Arabidopsis thaliana: one gene and its partners. The protein of the gene in region 2 interacts with the protein of the main gene of each other region in a pairwise test. Each region holds a gene or a part of one and is shown on either strand. Other genes may lie near its edges.

Region 1 (7,218 bases), on a different chromosome or scaffold from region 2:
TAGATTTTCTCAGTTTCCGGGAAAGCTTGGATTTGAATTCTCTCGCGAATCCCAGAAACCACATTCCCCGGAAAATGTTTCTCCTCCCGAATAAAGTCTCCGACGACAACTCATTTTCGTCGGTGGTTTGACTTTGAGGAGCCGCCGCCGTGCAGTAACAACCTGTTGAGTTTTCTTCCAAAATCTCATCGACGAACTCGTAAACGACACAGAGAATCGCGTCGAGGAGGTCCAAGAAAAAGAAGACGATAAAAGATAGAGCGGCGTGAATCGCTGTCCCGAATTTTCTCGGGAAAGACATAGAAGCGGAGAGAATCTAGACCGTGGGAGAAATTGAGATGAGTGGTTAAGCCACGTCGCATGAGAGAAGTTTCGAATTTATTACCAAAGTTTAGATGCATGCACTACAATTATGTTATATGTTTTTTTTCTTTTGGTCGGAAAATCTTACGGATATGTTACTATTAAGTAAAAAGGCCCGAAGGCTTTCCCAGGCCCAAAATAGGGGAGCCTGATTTACCCGCAGATATCATAAACGACGTCGTTCTAAATCTTGCCTCTCGTTCTAAATCTTGCCTCTAACGACGTGTTTTCGGTTTTGCTTATAACTCTCCTTTTGGAGCTTGCTGATATATCTTCAATCTTTAATATTTTGCATTACTTTCTCAATTCTTTACTGCCTCACCAAGTAACGATCTCTTTTCATTCACAACATGTTTCATCACTTTGTGTTACGTTTATATTCACAACATTCTGTCTGTATATATATTTGTGTTGTTTCTTTTAATCAAGGCGAGACCAAAGCTTATTCACATTATGGAACTTCAAATTCAACAGCGAAAGCAAGCTGTGAAGGACATTAAGATGTTTGTGTGCATTAACTTTATTATATTAATGGTATCAGTATCATCCATCCAAGATTCTTCAAAAGCTTGTTGTGGTAACGTTTGATGTATTATAGCAATGTTGATTTTGTTGTGTGCAGGAGGAGAGAAGAAACACAGCGACTTCTAAAGGATGCCGTCGGTAAAGATGGAGAATAAAGTTTCTACACATTGTGTATATAGAAGTTGAATTAAAGAAATACAAAAATCGTATGGTAATATTACTCCGAAAAAATGTTATGCTACATGGTCATTTATCTCCTTTACCAGTGGGATCAGAGTTGGTGATATGAGGATTTCTCTGGTGTCGTTGAGAAGTTAAACGCCGTTCCAAGGGAGTTTTCCTCTTGCTGACAACAAACCTATTCACTCCTTTCCTCATCGGCATTATCGACGGGAAATCTTCGTCTGGGATCTCACTCAGCTCTGATATGTTCTTAATCTCAGCCACTCTCTTAAACCATCTCTCTGCTTTTGCTTCCTCTGACATGTCCAACAAGTCTGACTCCTTCACTAACGAACCCTCCAAGCTCTTTCCATTTCTGATCTTCACTGCCACTGTATCAGATTTGTTGATTGAAGGTTCTCTTGGTTCTTGTTGTACTACCTGAGAAACGTTTTCTGTCGCCGGAGCTGGAAGAGTATCTATTGATTCCTTGGGTTGTTTCTCTTTGGCGAAGTAGTCAGGTGGGAAAGGGACAAAGGGGACAAAGTCTGAATCTTCTGGCCTCTTGTATGCTGGAGAAGTCAGTGAACGGTCTTTCTTCCTACTCACTACAAACCGATTCTCTCCTTTTCGCATAGGCATTTTCTCAGGAGAAATCTCTTGCGGTATTGCGCTTTCCAAGTCTGAAACATTGTGCAGTTCGGTGACCCGTTTGAACCACCTCGCAGGTTCCTCTGATTTGTGATCTTCCTTTTCAAGGCGATCTGTTTCTTTGCCAGAGTGATTTGCATCTGACTTGTCCTCTTGATAGACATTTTGATTGCCGCCTGAGAAACCATCCACTTGGATGTTGTCAATCAGACCTATCTGTGTTTCCTCCTTAGGTTTCTTGGCAAACATATCCGAAGGTAATGGCACGAAAGGAACAAAATCGGTGTTTATTCCCTGAGAAGATTCAAACCTTCTGGAAGATACATTCTTGTCATCAGAACGAGAAGTCAAAGAGGATGAAGAACCAAGAATCTCATTCAAGCTCCTAGTTGTTTTACTTCCCAAAGCATTATCGTCGCTCCTTTTCGAGTTTCCATCTGTAGCTACTCTGTTCTCAGTATTAGCCAACCTTCTCTCAAGAGGTGGCTTCCTCGTGCTAACAACATATCTATTCACTCCTTTCCTCAAAGGCATAATCTCTGGGAAATCTTCATCTGTATCAACACTGTTCGCATCAGAACCACCCTGTGCTACTTTACTAAGCCACCTCTGTGCTTTCTTTTCGTTTTCGACCAGTCTTCTCTCAAGTTCAGGGTCACTTGAATAATCAGAGTTGGCTGAATTGAGTGAAGAGTCCCTGGGTCGCTTGCAGTCACATCTTAAGCAAGCTACATTCCTCCCGTAATTATAGAAATCACATCTGATAAGTGAAACAACCAAGAAAGAAAGGAAAGGTTAACCTCATCATTCCTCATCGCATTAGTCATAAAGTAGCAGAGAGAAAAAATCAGTTTCTTACTGAGGACACTCCCATTCACTACCAGTAAGCTGTCTCTTTGGTCTTGCTTCATCACACTGGAAGCATTTGACATTTCTCGCAAAGTTCATGCCACTGCACCTGTTTCAACAAATTCCCACATCATATATATAGATTCCCTAAACGACAAGATGATGAAACAAAGACAATTACACCATACTGACTTCTTAGCTCTAAAAATAAGATCTTTCGACCACAATACTAGTGTAATAGTCAGAAGTATACTTGTTCAAGCTCAGATCCAGAAGATTTTTTTTTATGGTATCCTTATATCTAGGCCTACTTATATCTTTCCATAGAAGAATGGTAACCAAAAGGCCATAGGAGATTTACACCAAAAAGCTACTGAGAATCCAACAAATTCATACCTCGAGCAAATCCAGTCACCACGTTTCATCTCAACGTTATTCTGAAAAGACCTGACTCCTTGTCCATCTCTATCTGAGTACTGATTTTGCATCGTGTCATGAACATTCGACTCAGGAGGACGCAAGCTCATCTTCGCTATCTGACTCAAGAGGCTTCGAACCGATGACTCCATAATCTCTTTGTTATGTTGTTTGCTCTCCTCAGAAGAAGCAACATCCACAACATAACTCAAAATAAGCCTCATCAAATCAACTGTACTCGCCTTCTCCATATCCATCAACTAATGTAAAACACAAAAGATCATAACTTTGAGGCACAAATCACCATTGAACCAAGTTTAGACATAACCTAGCATTCACCAATAAAAGACTAAGCATTTGCCAGAAGATAGAACTTACCTTACCAATGCCCTGAAGACCACTTCTTAGGTAAAGGCTCATCCTTTTAAGTGAATCTGGACCTGTCTTGAATAAAAATGGCTTTCCATTCTCCACCAGCACTTCAACGTCTCTCCTCGAAAGCATTCTAATAAACACTAACATCATCAGATATTCAGATTGAGAATCAATCCAAAAAGAGAAAGAGAAAAAATTGCAGATTACTTACTCAAGCAGTTCTGGTCGTTCACGAGCTAGAGCTAAGCAAGCAAGAGCTGGACGGAGAAGTTCATCAGGAAAACCGGGAAAGAATTCACTTTCTAAACCAGAAATCGAACCGGAATCTGAGAAGTAACCAGCTTTGGAGAGAGATTGGAGTAGCTCTGTCCATTCAGGTAGCTGCTGGTTGTGATAAGAAGGAACAAAATCTGCGGCGGAGACACGGACTTGGTGATTGTAGAATCGTCCTATAGGAAACGTGGGGATAAGCGGCGGCAATGACACGAGTGGACGGAAAGAACATAGATTGGTTGAGGCAACGGACGAAGGAGGAAACGCACGGCGGTGGAAACGGCGGAGATTGGCTATGCGGCTGATGTAGAGACCACGGAGTAGAAAGAGAGGAGGAGGATGAGGAGAGAAGAGGGAGATGAGTCTGGTGGAGTTGTTCATCGTTGCTCGTCGTCACTGGTTTTATTTTTACCGGCGAGAATTATTTCAGTGATGTTTAAGGAAAAAAAAAGGATTAATAAATCGCAAAATAATTGCAAAATGAAGAAAAAAATAAGCCCATATTGGCTAACATAGGCCCATAATTCTGTGTGCTACTACTTGGGCTTGCCATTATGAATGTTTGGTAACTTTGGTAAATAATGTATTTCATTCAAATGGGATGTCTCTTAAAGAAAAAGTAAATGGTTTCGTACTAATAATGGAATTAACCCAAGTAACGAACTGATAGTAATCTAATCTAAGAGATGTTTTAAAGATAAGCGTAAGTTTTATGTTGAAATCTTCAGTTTATACAATATAAAAAGGAGTTTGCAGATTCGGTATTTATCAAATTGCACGTCGATTTGACATCAATTTTCGTGACTTGAAAAGTTGAAGTGTACATTGTACAATGTCATACGCATGCATACATTTCTTTTGACTTAAAGCCGCTATAACTTTAAAAGATTTATAGTCATACATTTCTCCGTTATTGAATTTTCACTTACTTAACAAACCTCGATTATAGTTATACTTCTACATATGTTCGTAATAAGTGATGTTTACTTGTTTAGAGATTTCAATTCACATACGTTATTTAATTTCTAACTTTTGTTTTTCTTAAATTAATAAGTTTATATGTTACAACTTACAACTTTCGAAAATAATAGATGATATAGACTATTTTTACATATACTATAGAAAAAAGCTATGTCAAGGATCTAAAATAGTTATATTTATTATGTATTAGTACTTCTTGGTTTCAGAACTTATACAATTACAATATATAATAAAACCTAAGAAATAAAAATTAACTAAAAAATAATACGTTATGAATATAGTTTTATATAAACGAAAGAAACGAAAATTAAAACATCAGTGGAACTAAAAAGGAGAGAATAATATTTGTGTTCTCTTGAACGTGGGAGTCACTGTGAGTTAAAGTTGGGTGTGGATTAGTTGCCGATCACTGCCGTCAACTTTTGACTAATGTTTATTCTGATTAACACTTTTACATACACTAAGCTATTTATAATGTAATAACTAATTTCTTTGTTTAGATCTATGTGGAGTAAAATATTGGTGAGTACGTAGACAATTAACTGCCTTGATAATGACTTCAATCTAAGTCCGTAAGGTATAACCTCATTAATTCCCCTAGAAATGTATTTTATCATAATTAATTACTATTTATACTTTGATGTGACATGTTTAGTTCTATGCCACAAGTGCAATGGACGGGCTAACAACTTTGACATGATTTGTAATTAAAATTCAATTTTAATAAAGAGACTTTATGTCATTACATCATGAGATAAAGCCCTAAATTCCTCAAATTAGTTAAAGTGTCTTCTTTAAAACTAATCAAGAAGTTTTAAAGAAACTTTTTCTATGTTAATGTAATTAGTGTGACTTATCTCATGAATCATGATTATCCGAACATTATTTTAGCGCTTGGAGTTTCGAAGTTACCTTTTCTCGCCACCTTTTGTTTTCTGGGTCTATTGAAAGATTGTCTCAAATTTTAAAAGGATAAGAAAAACACAATTCCATTAACTTTAATCGTACAAGTGAGAGTGTTAGAAATTGTGGTTAAACAATGATCAATAACCACTAACCATTTCGTAAAATTCACCGACGACTTTATCAAATGACGAACATGATCCGATGGATCCACGAACTACCGAAAGAGAAGTAACCTCAGAACTATGTAGAAAAAGCAATCCTATTATTCATTCGAACTAATTCAATATGCAGCTAGTTTTTTGGTCTAACGACTTCTTATCGTACCATTTTTCATCTCTTATCATTTTTACCATATTCAACCATACCACCATTTTTATCACTATTTTGTACAGTTACAAAGCTCTTACCGTCTTGCGCTATTAATCGGACCATTAAACAACTTCACATAAAATTTTATATTAGACGTTTGAATTTAAGTCGAAGTTTTGATAATCTTAAATGTAACCCCTAAAATACAGTCGATAGTATTTGATGAAACAACTCCCTCATTAAAAATCGATTACTTTTATAAAATAGCTGTAAAATAAATGGCAACCCAAACGAAACAAAAAATATCTATCCCCCGAAACATATTACATATACTCCACATCTTTCATATATGTTTGTTTATCGGTATGTCTTTAATATTATCTCTTCTTACCCCAAAATTATACAACAATCTTTCAAATTACAGACCACTTTCATGGTCGTTGGAAAAAAATAATTCTTCCATAGTCGAGAATATGATTTGCAAAAATGTTATTAAATAATAATCATTCAAAGTATCTTAATAAAAAAACAAAAGAAAAGTGGAATTGGTCCATAACGGTTCGGGGAACTTTTCTATGAACCGGAAACTGAAATTCGTGAGGACGGTACACGTGTTAGGTAAGAACACGATCCGCTCGTGTGTAACAGCCAATGATGTCGTCATTCCACGTCGGTACAAGACTTTTTTTTTGTCGTCAACAGAAGATTTCAAAATTAACGAAACCGTTCCCATAACCGAAACTCACATAAAAACAAGACACAATAAATAAAAAACTTTAGGTACTTTTCTGTCGTTTCTTTGGTTTCTAACGTCTATTCGTGTTATATTTGTTTTATTCTTCATTTATTATTGTTGAATTTAATTCTAGTTCGAGTTCAGTTACATGATTTCTCTCTTTAATCTCTAGTATTTTAATCCATCAAAATTATGTGGTTGCATACTCGATCGAGTTTAGTACAATTACTAAAATATGTAGCTTTGTTTAGTCATATCAAGACTATAGTAAGTTGTTACGCATGAAAGATAATTATTACATTCAAACGAATGACCACTCAATTCTTATATCAAAAAGATACAAAAAACTAAAGTCTACAACTTATAGGTTCAATGGGAGCATAAATAGTCCATATCATTGAATAATAATGGTCTTCAATAGAGTTGGTTGTTCAATTATTATTTTTGGTTTATAAGAAATGAATTGAACTTTTGTTTGTCACCATTCACATTTTCTTCTCTTTTTTGTACTTTTAGTTTTCCTAAAAATTAAAAAAACTATGTTCCCTTCGTACCTAAAACTTACTTTAAAATAACCAATTTGATGATAGTTTTTTTTAAAAAACTTCAACAAAGATTATATATTTCATCCTGAAACAAAAATTACAGCAAAATTTAAATTTAAACTAGTA
Region 2 (6,170 bases):
CTTTGAGCTTGTTTCCTCGTGCATGATATTGATGTACGCTTTTCTTCTTTACTAATTTACTTCTTTTTTTTTATTGCACAGGAGGTTGATAAGGATAAACAGAAAAGAGATGCTGAGGAGATGGGGGACGCGATGAAGTCCTTGGAGAACAGAACTTTGGATTCTAAAAGAGAAATGGACATTATAGCTGCACTTGATGAAATGAAATCAATGAAGGTATGACACAGCTGCCTTTTTGTATCTTCTACTTCCTCGCGCTCTCTCTTGAATTCTTAAAATGTGATTATATTTCATGATTCTGTTACATGCTGACATAAGAGTTTTGGGTACTGATTTTCTATTATTTTGATTTTTGCAGTCTAGACATGCTACTGTGAGTGTAGATGCAATGTTGGAGGCCTTGCAAAGAACAGGCGCTGAGAAGGTATGCTCCTGTTACTCGGTTACTTTTTCATATTTATGGCGATTTGATATTGTCTTCACAGAATACTGTTTTTAAGTTAAATAAGAAACAGAGATTTCAGCTTTCGTGTTTCTTGATAACTAAACCATCTTGTTGCTCTTTGTAAGCCTTCTATCGAAGTGTACCTCTGACAAAAGTGTTCTGTACCATTGTTATGTTAAGTTATTTCGTTGACTGAGCCAATATGGTTATTTTCTTTTTATTTTGACAGGTAAAACGAATAGAAGAAGAAGATGAAGCAGTTATAAAGTCGATATTTGGTGTAAGTGTTCATGTCATTCTTGCGTAAATATTGGTTCTTCACATGACATCTAGCTTTGCTAAACTTTTTCATATTTCTGTTTCATCTGAAATGCAGAAACAGAAAGAAGTTATTAGGAGAATTGCAGATGAAGAAATTGATGATGATTATGATGATGATGATATCGATGATTATCCCAGCCTTCAGAAGGAGAAGAAAGGATCATCGTCAGATCTTTCAAAGGTTCCTCTATCAAAACATATATCTTTCAGATTTCCCTCATCTTCTCATCATGTTTCAGATTTTTTGGAATCAGGACTAACTGTTAATTCTTTTATCTTTGATACAGAAGAGGAAGGCAACAGAAGTAAGTCCAAGCAACCCCACAGATATTTTGACTAGTTCTTCTGCAGGTGGGTTTTTTCAATCTTTCTTTCAAGTTTATCGACTTTGATTTCCTTTTTTCGGTTGAATAATGTTTAACGGGTTTCTCCATTTACGACCAGAAAATCCGAAGGAGCCCAAGAAACAAGCTATCAGCAAACAACCCTTTAAATCCGTTCACATAAAAGTCATCAAGAAGCAACCTCAACCAACTTCATCGTCAACTCCGGCTCCTGCAAAACCAGAGGAGAAGAAGAGTGATGGTGCGGCTAACACCAGTTTAGCCTCTTTATTCCAGAATTATGGTAGTGATGAAGATGAAGATTGATTGTTTTTGTTCTCGACAAGTTCCGCACTTTCACAGATCTCATATCACTGTTTTAGAATTCGAGCTCTTATACTGTCGATATATGTGAGATCTTTCAGAATTTTCAGAAATTTGTTCATGAAATTGTTTTTGCAATTGATTTGGATTGATAGTTAGCTTCTGATGAAGCGGACCCACTTACAAAAACTTCCAGGTAAATACAGCAAAATAAAAGAGAGAAACGGTGAGCACACCATTTCTTGAATGACACTCCACACAATCTGTAACTCACTTTTGCCCTTTCTTCCTCCACAACTCACCAAACATCTTCATCCCAGAACTCTTCCTCTTGCCACTTCCCAGTCCATCATCATAATCATCAGCCATTCCCGGTGGATCCATGAACCCAGCTGACGGGTCAAAGAACCCACCTGCATAATACTTCTCAGTTGACCCAGATCGATCCCGACCATTCATCTCAAACTCTCCAGAAAGAACTGCTGCTGCAGCATCCGCTGCCTTCCTCCACTGCTCGGTTTGAACCCTGAGCTTCTTCATCTCAGCCTCTAAAGCATCTTTTGCTTCTTCCATGGACTCAAGCTTCTCCTTCAGGTGAGCCGTCTTTGCTCTGCTTTCTTCTAACTCTTCCCCAATCCTACTCACCTTTGAAACCATCTCATCTTCATTAGCTTTCACATTAGAAATCTCTGAAGCTGAATCGCTCAACTGATTCTTCAAGCTCTCGTTTTCTTTGCCTAGTGATTCATGCTCTTTCTCCATGTCATAGAGTCTAGCTTTCAGCATCTTTATCTCATCTTCCTTTGCAACCAATTTCTCAGCTTCGTCATTGCCGCTTCTCAGTTCTTCTTCTTCTACTGCAATCTTTTCAACGGGAACCTCAAACACATCAGTCTCTTTCTGCACATCACCAGGGATTTCGTCTCTATCAATCCTCTCAGCCTCAGTTGCAGATTCCTCCACTCGAGCCAGCGGGTTTGGTTTCTTGGACTTCTTATGAAGCTCATCTTGAGCTTGTTTCTTCACAGCTTCAGCATTAGCCAACTGCTCCTTGAGCAATCTCAGTTCCTCTTGCGCTTGTCCTAACTGCGACTCTAGATCCGATATTCGTCCCCCAAGTTTCTTCTGACCAAGCGGATCACTGTTAGGTCCACCGCTTCGAGGAGATTTACGGTCAACACCGGGCTTAAAACTTTGATCCGTAGTGATCAGACGGTTGGAATGATTGGAATCAGAAGTAGATGACGATGACCTCAGCCTTGGAGCTTGCCTCTGAGACAACTCTGAAACTCTAGAGAAATACAAACAACAACAAAAAATCTTAAATCACATCATTACTCATGTGAGAAAATGGAGATTTCTTAGTCAAAATCGTAACCTTGGTCTTGGCATTTTGATTTCGTGTTGAGGATATAATAAGCAATAATTCACAACAGAGAAGCCAAAGTTGCTGGAAGCTCGAAGGTTTATGGAGTAACTTGTATAAAACTGAAACGTAAACAAAATCAGTTGTCATTTATTACAGCAACAACCAAAGCCATGACTCATGTCGGAAAATTCCGGGGAACTGAGATATGATTATAATCACGCGCCGTCAAAAGCGCGTGTGTATCAGTGTATGATATGTGTGAGAGAACAAGAGACAGTAATCTTCAAATGAGAAAAACCAGAAACAGAGAAGAGAGTTGTCAAAGCTGGGAACTTATAAACTTTATTTTAATGTTCGTTTGCTACATTTAATAAGCAAAAGGATCCAACTAAAAAGAGTTAAAACTTACCCTCGAAGAAGAAGAAGATGAGGTCAACTTTGCATTTGAAATCCAACAAGTGACTAAGAGAAACTATTAAAAATGGTCAAAGAAAGATTTGCGTTGGCTGATTGTGAGTCAGTAATAGGAACAAGAACATAAAACCAGAAGAATTACCCAAAAATGAGCAGAAAAGAAGAGAGAGAGATAGAGAGTTGTAGTGTAACGCATGTACCTTTTCGAAACAGACAGCTTTATTTGAAGACACTCTCTCAATCCAAGAAGCCTAGACTAGAGAGAGAGAGAGAAAGAAATGGTTTTATTTTATTTTTGAAGATTTGAAATAAAGCTGATCAAATTTAAAATCGAGGGACCATTGGGTAGGAGAAGGGCAAAAGTATAATTTTAAGTCTTGTAATAACGTCCACATATACACACACGTAACGTAACCATGATGTATATAAAGTCCGCATGTTTCATTCTTTTGTTTTATATTGTAAACCATCTTATAAAATGATCTAAAAAATGTAATTTTAATACAAGAGTGAATGTGAATGTTCGTATTGAATATAGATGTTATTTCTCAAATTTATAAGCATCATGTAAATTTTGTAGTTTTTGTGAGTTTTCCCTAGATATATATCAATATACGGTATGTGCCTTTAAATGAGTACAAGGTAAAATCATTGAAGTACAATTTCAAAGATCAGTAATAATAATGTATATAAAGTTCAGGAATTAACACTAAAAGCCTAAAACCATCAATATGGGATATTTAATTTTTGTATATTTATTTTGTAATAGATATATCCAGAGAAATGCATATAAATGTGGATTTATGTCACATAATTAGTTTCAATAGTTTATCATAAATACACACACATGTATATTACCTACATATCAATATTTCTGACACTCTTGTTTCTTTTTGTCGGTTTTGTACATGTTTCAATTTACAAACCTCTATTTTATTATAAACCTTCTCTAATCTCGACGTTTCTTTTTGTGATCTCCAACACGTCGAGAAACCAATTTGATGCTTCTTATAAGGAAAAAATGAAAACGAGATTACAAATTGTATTATTTTATGTAGATAGCATTGAATCGCCGTTTAATATTTGATGGCATGGGTGTCCATATCAATAAACAATTATTGTTAATTTGTTACCAAATAATTTGGATTTCATGTTTTGGTCAATGTCATTAGTTACTATACTAGTTGTAGCTGGCTCTATCATTTTGTTCAAAAATGCTATACGAAATCACTCACCTTAAAATTCAGTTCACGGCCTTAAAAAATCAGTTTCATTATATATTTGTTAACAACTTAATATGATCATTTCCCATTTCGAATATAAACGCAATAGAATTCGACCTAACATGGGTTGATCAAAAAGTAGAAATGCGACTATAATAAATAATTTAGAGCAAACATATTTTTATTAGTTGTTGGAAATTAAATGTAAATGGACGCTCTAAAGTAAGAAAAAGGTGAAGTGTACTTATTCAAGAATGAAAGACAAAAGCATGTGAGTAGAGGAACTCTTAAGTAAATCACTTCAAGGCTAAAAAAACCCTTAAACTCCCAAAGATGACCACCACTCTCACTCACACTTCAATTTATGTTCTCTCTTCTCATTTAATATCAAAGAGACCAAAGCATGTGTATCTTCATTTTTGTCGTCCTTTCTTGACATTTCCTCAACTACTAACTAACTATTCTTTTACTCCTTTAGCAAATCCCCCATTCATCACAAACTCTTCCAAACTATTGCTTTCATTGATAAAAATACATGGAATTGCTAAAATGGCAAAATCCCTCATTGATGCTAAGGTTTTACCAATAATGGAATCTCACGGAATCACGATTTATATTCCCCTTTTTTGTAAATTATATTCTTCATTTCATTTTTGTGCAATGCTTACCATTCATAATAATACAACCAAACAACCAACCTTCTGTAGGAGGAATTGAAAATCGTTTTGGTTTTTCTTATTGGCACATGTATGAAGTGATCAACATACACCCTCAAAACTAACTAACAATCTAAAACCATTCACTCCCGCTAACATAATATAAACAAAAGACTATATAACAACTTTGAAGCTTTCCTCTTTACCTTTGGGAACTCTCTATTGCCATGTAACTTCCCTGGAAGTCTCACCGCCGCTATCATCAGTCATATCTGATCTTGTATAGCTGATTCCTGCTCCTTGAAGGTAATGGTTACTATCCTGTTCTATGGCATTGTAATGACTGTTGTTACCATTGTCTGGAACAAGGTTTTGTGATGCAAGGTTAACGTTTTGATTCGAAGAAGATACGCCAACCATTTGCTGACGTTCGGCAAGAACAGCAATTGCACAAGCTAGCCCACCTGATGGAGATGATGATGACGGAGTTGATGGTTCCTCATTACGATCTTTTTCTGAAATATCATCAGGTGATGTGTTTCTCTGAATTCCTGGTTCCTGTTAAAGAAAGAAAATAGTTAGGCTTATCTTATTCAGATAAATGCTATATACTTCAAAGTTTACTAACCAAACAAATTACCTGCATCGAAAGCCATATTGCTTCCATGACCATTATATCTTCAAGATCAAAGTCAAACTGACCGTCCCTGAAGAGTTTTCCAGATAACCACATATCAGTCACCTGATATGAACCACTCAGATTCAAAGTTCCAACACGTATTACCGTTGTGCATATAACTTTAGCCAGAAAGGAATGATCTGAAAATGTAATACCATAACTGACTAATAAGAGACAATTTAAGAAGGGGTTCATTTTTAAGTTTTAACTGTAACGGTTCTCGAAGCATCAAAGTTTCTCAAGAGATAGGACTAATACAAATGAAATTTAACAGCTAAATAGAGAAAAAGGCTGTTCATACAACCCCATGGCATGGATACTCATAAAAGTCATTTAGGTCCATTTCTAGGAAAATGACAAACCTTGTAACCTGAGGGTGGTGAGATGGAAGACATGATTCTTGAGATGAAACAATT
Region 3 (5,958 bases), on a different chromosome or scaffold from region 2:
TTCTATTCAAGCAAATGCCTCCAGTTTTTCTTCCAAAATTAGTGGTTTCTTGTTTTTAAATTTGAACAGTTGCAGTTTACAACGACTGTAGGTTGGTATCGATGTTGAAGACAAGGAAAGGAAGATTAAACATGATATCTTAGCATTTGCAGAAAGATTTTACTCTGCTGATGAAGTCAAGTTTTTGTCAACTTTACCGGACCCTGAAGTTCAGAGAAAGGAATTTATTAAGTTATGGACCCTAAAGGTAGTTTCTACTAACAACACATTTACTTGAGCCTGAAAATTGTAGCTTATCAAAAGTTTTAAAACTGTTGTGATGATTCTTTCAGGAGGCATATGTGAAAGCATTAGGAAAAGGCTTTTCTGCTGCACCTTTTAATACCTTCACAATCCAGTCCAAGGTTGGAACAAAAGGAGAATACAATCTTTGCAAGGTCTGTTTTGATCTTAATTTACACAGTGGAATTGAATAAGGAGTTTATCAAATGCGATTAGTTTTTGTGTTGTACACTTTCTGAAATTTCATTTGCAGTATACATACAGTAGTGGTAAAATTAAAGACGCTTGATTGTTTTCTCTAGATGACTGAAATGACTGCAAGTTCGCTGGAGGAGACAAACAAATGCGATGGAGAATGGAAGTTTTCCCTTTTGGAGTTGGATGATTCTCATTATGCTGCAATCTGTATTGAAGATGATGAAGCTAGTGGAGGTGCAATTTTCAGTTGACATATCTCTTGATACTGAAAAATCCATTTTATTCAGTAATTTCTTCATCACATCTTTTTCCTTCTTGCAGGAGCTCCTATGAGGGTGATTGTCCGAAAAACCATCCCGTTTGTAGAAGATGAACTTATATCTGAAAGCAAACTTCTTTAGTTAGTGTAGCCTTAAACCTTCAGATTTCTCTGTAATCATTCTGTTTTGAGTACATCCTCTCTGTAGTATACATTCTGTGCAAGCGAAAAATAAAAGTAGCCTATTATTGGACCATCATGTTTGTGAGACACTTGGAAGATCACCAGTAATCTTTGCACGAGCAGACCCCGTCTTTGAAATAGTGGAACCGAGATGCATCCCTTACAACAAACTGGCGATCTACAATCTTGCTAACCTGCTTGAGGAACACATGACAATCTTCACAAACCCTCAAATTCTTTATCACAAGAATTTCTGTGCCTGGAATACTGTTGAGAATCCCAAAAGCTATTGCTAACCTCTCGCTATGCTCACGGGTAGTGCTCGAAACCTCTTCGCCTCTATCACAGTCCATGTTTCCCGCAAGCTCCATCACAGAAGTCTCTAACTCATCCAACATTCTATGGACTTCCTCTGTTTGCTCATGACTTCTATCGCCAGCTAAAAACAAGTGAACTCTTCCCTTGTGTTCCACATAACTATACCCAGGCTTTTTCCTGAATGCTCTCTCTCTCATCATTACCCGGATTCTCCAGATTCCTTCTTGGTTTTTCGAGTCTGAATATATATTTGACATCAATACATAGTAGCCAATGTTATTGGGTTCAAACTCAATCACCTTTGCAAAAGCTAACTCTGCCATATCCACATTCTTATGGATTTTACAAGCACCCAATAGAGCACCCCAAACAGCACCGTCCGGTTCAACAGGCATTGACTCTATAAACTCCATGGCTTCATCTAGCCGACCAGCTCTTCCGAGTAGATCAACTAAACAAGAGTAGTGTTCAGGACCAGGCTCCAGCTTATACTCTCTCTTCATCGCTCTAAATAACTCTAAACCTTTATCCGTTAGCCCTGAATGGCTGCAAGCAGATAAAACCATTACAAACACCGCCCCATCTGGTCTTATGCCTCTTTTTATCATATCATCAAAAAGCATAAGCCCAATCTCTCCCATTCCATGCATCCCATAGCAACCAATCATGGCGGTCCATGAAACTAAGCTTTTTACAGGCATGATGTCGAAAACAGCACGTGCCTTTGCCAAGTTACCGCATCTAGCATACATGCTAATCGATGCATTGCTTACAAAAACATTTGGTACAAAACCATTGGATTCTACTAACTTCCCTACTTCGTGACCAATCTTCTTAGCTCCAAGATGGGCACAAGAAGACAGAACACTAACCAATGTAAAAGGATCAGGACAAACACCCGATGATTTCATCTGCTCATAAAGTTCCAGAACATCGTAAGCTAGCCCGTTCTGTGAATATCCAGAAATCACAGCATTCCAAGTAATCAAACCCTTCACAGGCATCTCATCAAACAACCTCCTACCAGCTTCTACCGACCCGCATTTCATGTACATTGTGATGAAACTATTCAAAACAGCTACTTCAGAATCCAGTCCTCCTTTAACACATTGACCGTGAAGAGACCTCCCAAGCCAGAGGTATTCAGGAACCGTGCATAGCGGGACAAGCCCAAGCATTGTAACTGAATCCACAGACACACCAGTTTCCTTCATTCTACGAAACATATACGCAGCATCAGTGACCTTCGAGTTTGCTGTGTACCCAGATATCAAAGCATTGTAACAAACACTAAGCTGACTTGACTGAGGATTTTCTTCGAACACTTTACGTGCATCTGCAACCAAACCGCATTTACAATACATTGAGATCAGAGCCGTTAGTACAAACGGCTCAGTCTCGCAACCGCCTTTGGTCACGTGGCAATGTAGCTGTTGGCCGGAGACAGGGAGCGAAAGGGAAGCACAAGACTTGAGAATGAAAGGGAAAGAGAACGCGTCGGGAGAAGAACCAGAACGGAGCATTGACCGGTAAAGAGATATAGATTCAGAAAACAATGACTGATATGCGAGCTCTCTCAAACGTACGTTCCATGGCGTCGAAGCCACCGCAGCGACGGCGGAGTTCCGTACAAAGCTTGTAACGACGATCATGGTCTCCCGCGCTGATTATGACTTGTTTGGGTTAAAACGCATAGTTCTAATTTTTATGAGAATAAGGCCCAAATAGTATGGGCCTGTAGCCCAAAGTAATCCGAAAATTTGGGGGAATAGAGTTATACGTAAAACCAAACGGGTATTAATCTGTGATAGACCATTTCTTCTTCTCAGATACTTTCCTCCATCTGGAAATCGTTGCCGCCGCTATTTCCTCAATAAACCAGATTAAACCTTCTCTTCTTCATCATCTTTCTCAACCGCCGTAGGTTGGAGGGAAGCTCGCGCGGCAAGTAATAGCCGGAGCAGCTTCCGACCAACGGATCGGGGTTACTAGGAGCTCAGTTTCTGGTAAGAGAATCGGTTTAATCACTGTTGTTTTATTACTTATGGTAGCTGAGTGGTTTTCGAATGTTATCTGATTGATTCGTGAAATATCTTAAGATTGAATAAGATCATCTTTTGTTTGTGCATAAGGGGAGGATAAGCTGATAGTAGAAAATCTAGATTAGACAATTGATGGTACTGAGTAATAACTAATAACTAACCTTAGGAGTATGATTGGTTTCTAGGGTTCTTATGAGATGTATTTTGCGATCATGTTCCTTTCTTTTTCGTCATTTTTATGGAGTTTCATACTCGGAGTTGTATTAGTAGCTTTGATCAGTGTCTTGCGAAAACAATGTGTTTTTAAACCAGGCCTTGTGAAACCATTAGCCTTTGTGTAACATCTGGAGTTTATTGTGCTGTTCTCTCGTTTACTTGGTTAATGCTTAATCATTGCGACAGAAATCAGGGTGGATATTCACTTGGAGTAAGGTGCAGCTCGTATAAACTGTTCATCATGCCGAGCCGGAGAAGTGAGTCTGCTATTAGGCTAATTACGTACTCTGAGGAGCTTGTGGATGGAAAACCGTTCTTTGCTTTTTCCAATTGTCTTCCTGTGAAGGCTTTAAACCGTGAACCTGCTGGTCATGCCTTCCATTCTGCTGCGCTTAAACTGCATGGTTGTGCAGAAGAACCCACAGACGATGAAGGTGGTGATAAGAAAGTGGGAGATGATAAAGAGAAGGAATATGTTCCTTCATTCAACTCGTATGCCAACAAAGGAAAGAAGAAGTCTGGTACCCAGCAACAAGACCACTATGCGTTGTTGGGTTTGAGCAATCTAAGATATCTTGCGACGGAAGATCAGATTAGGAAAAGTTATCGTGAAGCTGCATTGAAGCATCATCCTGATAAACTCGCTAGTCTCCTTCTGTTAGAGGAAACAGAAGAAGCCAAGGAGGCAAAAAAAGATGAGATTGAATCTCGCTTCAAAGCGATTCAAGAAGCATATGAGGTATTGATGGACCCAACTAGGAGAAGAATTTTTGACTCCACTGATGAGTTTGATGACGAGGTCCCATCGGATTGCTTGCCGCAAGACTTTTTCAAGGTGTTTGGTCCAGCGTTTAAGAGAAATGCTAGGTGGTCAGTGAATCAGCGTATTCCAGATTTGGGAGATGAAAACACACCACTTAAAGATGTTGATAAGTTCTACAACTTTTGGTACGCTTTCAAGAGTTGGAGGGAATTTCCTGATGAAGAGGAGCATGATCTTGAACAAGCAGATTCCCGTGAAGAACGTAGGTGGATGGAAAAGGAGAATGCAAAAAAAACTGTGAAGGCTAGAAAGGAGGAGCATGCTCGAATCAGGACTCTTGTTGACAATGCGTATAGAAAAGACCCGAGAATTGTGAAAAGAAAAGAGGAAGAAAAGGCTGAGAAGCAACAGAAAAAAGATGCAAAAATTCAGGCCAAGAAGAAGCAGGAAGAGGACGCTGCTATTGCTGCTGAAGAAGAGAAAAGGCGAAAAGAAGAAGAAGAAAAGCGAGCAGCAGAATCTGCACAACAACAAAAGAAAACTAAGGAAAGAGAGAAGAAGCTCTTACGCAAAGAACGAAATCGTCTTAGAACTCTCTCAGCTCCTCTCGTGGCTCAGCGTCTGCTTGACATCTCTGAGGAAGATATAGAGAATCTATGCATGTCACTTAACACCGAGCAGTTGCAGAATCTATGTGATAAAATGGGAAACAAAGAAGGACTAGAATTGGCAAAGGTGATCAAAGATGGATGCAACAGTAGTAGAAATGATGAAGCCGAATCTAAAGAAAAAGTAAGTAAGAAGACCAACGGTGGCACAGAGCCTACAACCCGAGTTTCACAGTTAGATAGTAGCACTCAGAAGAAACAACCATGGAGCAAGGAAGAGATTGATATGCTGAGAAAAGGAATGATAAAATATCCAAAGGGGACATCGCGGAGATGGGAAGTTATTTCAGAGTACATTGGTACAGGAAGATCTGTAGAGGAAATTCTGAAAGCAACTAAAACAGTTCTCCTGCAAAAACCAGATTCAGCTAAAGCATTCGATTCTTTCCTCGAGAAGAGGAAACCCTCTGCTTCAATCACATCCCCTCTCTCCACAAGAGAGGAGCTCGGAGAATCTCTACCCACAATGACGACCACAACAAATGCAAAGCCCTCTAAAGAGACTGTTGTGGGGAAAAGCTCGAGCAGTCAAAGCTCAGACAACAATGGTGAAGTAGGTGGAAGTTCAGACGCAGATAGTTGGTCGACTGTGCAAGAAAGAGCTTTGGTTCAAGCTTTAAAGACATTCCCGAAAGAGACAAGCCAAAGATGGGAGAGAGTAGCTGCAGCTGTCCCTGGTAAAACGATGAACCAATGCAAGAAGAAGTTTGCAGAGCTTAAGGAAATCATTAGAAACAAGAAAACCGGAGTATGAGGTAAAATCATTTCGGAGTCCCATGAGAATTTTGGGTTTTAATCCTCTTGGGGCACCGTTACTTTGCGAGAAGCAAGACCTAAAACTTTTTTATTATTTGTAATGATTCATTTCCCTTTGATGTCTCTATATATTGAGAGTGCTGGAGCCACTATTATGGAGTATGTTGTTTTTTACATAATCTTATGTAACGTTTGATTAGCGTCTAGTTTCAAGTTGTGAAATAAAGCGCATCGCTCATGCTGCTGTGTCTCCGGTCCCAATTAGAGGTTGGG

Evidence for each region. The genes of interacting proteins can lie anywhere in the genome.
Region 1: the proteins of ICR1 (region 2) and VAR3 interact in a two-hybrid assay, tested with the Arabidopsis thaliana proteins (one study listed by BioGRID).
Region 3: the proteins of ICR1 (region 2) and AT3G11460 interact in a two-hybrid assay, tested with the Arabidopsis thaliana proteins (one study listed by BioGRID).

Annotation. Positions count from the first base shown.
Region 1 is NC_003076.8:5,868,676-5,875,893, forward strand, and holds VAR3 (zinc finger (Ran-binding) family protein), read right to left. Parts: upstream 4,108-7,218; 5' UTR 3,997-4,107; coding exon 3,554-3,996; intron 3,473-3,553; coding exon 3,346-3,472; intron 3,228-3,345; coding exon 2,947-3,227; intron 2,660-2,946; coding exon 2,561-2,659; intron 2,462-2,560; coding exon 1,135-2,461; 3' UTR 1,021-1,134; downstream 1-1,020. Other genes in the region: AT5G17780 (alpha/beta-Hydrolases superfamily protein), read right to left, coding at 1-301. UniProt on the Arabidopsis thaliana protein: Probable component of some protein complex required for chloroplast and palisade cell development. Involved in C-to-U editing of chloroplastic RNA. Controls a large number of chloroplastic editing sites.
Region 2 is NC_003070.9:5,855,057-5,861,226, forward strand, and holds ICR1 (interactor of constitutive active rops 1), read right to left. Parts: upstream 3,495-6,170; 5' UTR 3,397-3,494; intron 3,391-3,396; exon of another isoform or gene 3,255-3,390; 5' UTR 3,192-3,254; exon of another isoform or gene 2,902-3,191; 5' UTR 2,806-2,901; coding exon 2,792-2,805; intron 2,705-2,791; coding exon 1,684-2,704; 3' UTR 1,517-1,683; downstream 1-1,516. Other genes in the region: AT1G17130 (coiled-coil protein (DUF572)), read left to right, coding at 82-216, 359-424, 675-725, 822-947, 1,054-1,117, 1,211-1,416; AT1G17145 (RING/U-box superfamily protein), read right to left, coding at 5,295-5,633, 5,716-5,782, 6,117-6,170. UniProt on the Arabidopsis thaliana protein: Acts as a scaffold, mediating interaction of ROPs with different proteins. Required for primary and adventitious root maintenance, but not for their formation.
Region 3 is NC_003074.8:3,605,184-3,611,141, reverse strand, and holds AT3G11460 (Pentatricopeptide repeat (PPR) superfamily protein), read right to left. Parts: upstream 2,893-5,958; coding exon 1,021-2,892; downstream 1-1,020. Other genes in the region: AT3G11470 (4'-phosphopantetheinyl transferase superfamily), read left to right, coding at 92-247, 333-437, 585-714, 802-881; AT3G11450 (DnaJ and Myb-like DNA-binding domain-containing protein), read left to right, coding at 3,740-5,683. UniProt on the Arabidopsis thaliana protein: Involved in C-to-U editing of mitochondrial RNA. Required specifically for editing the mitochondrial NAD2 transcript.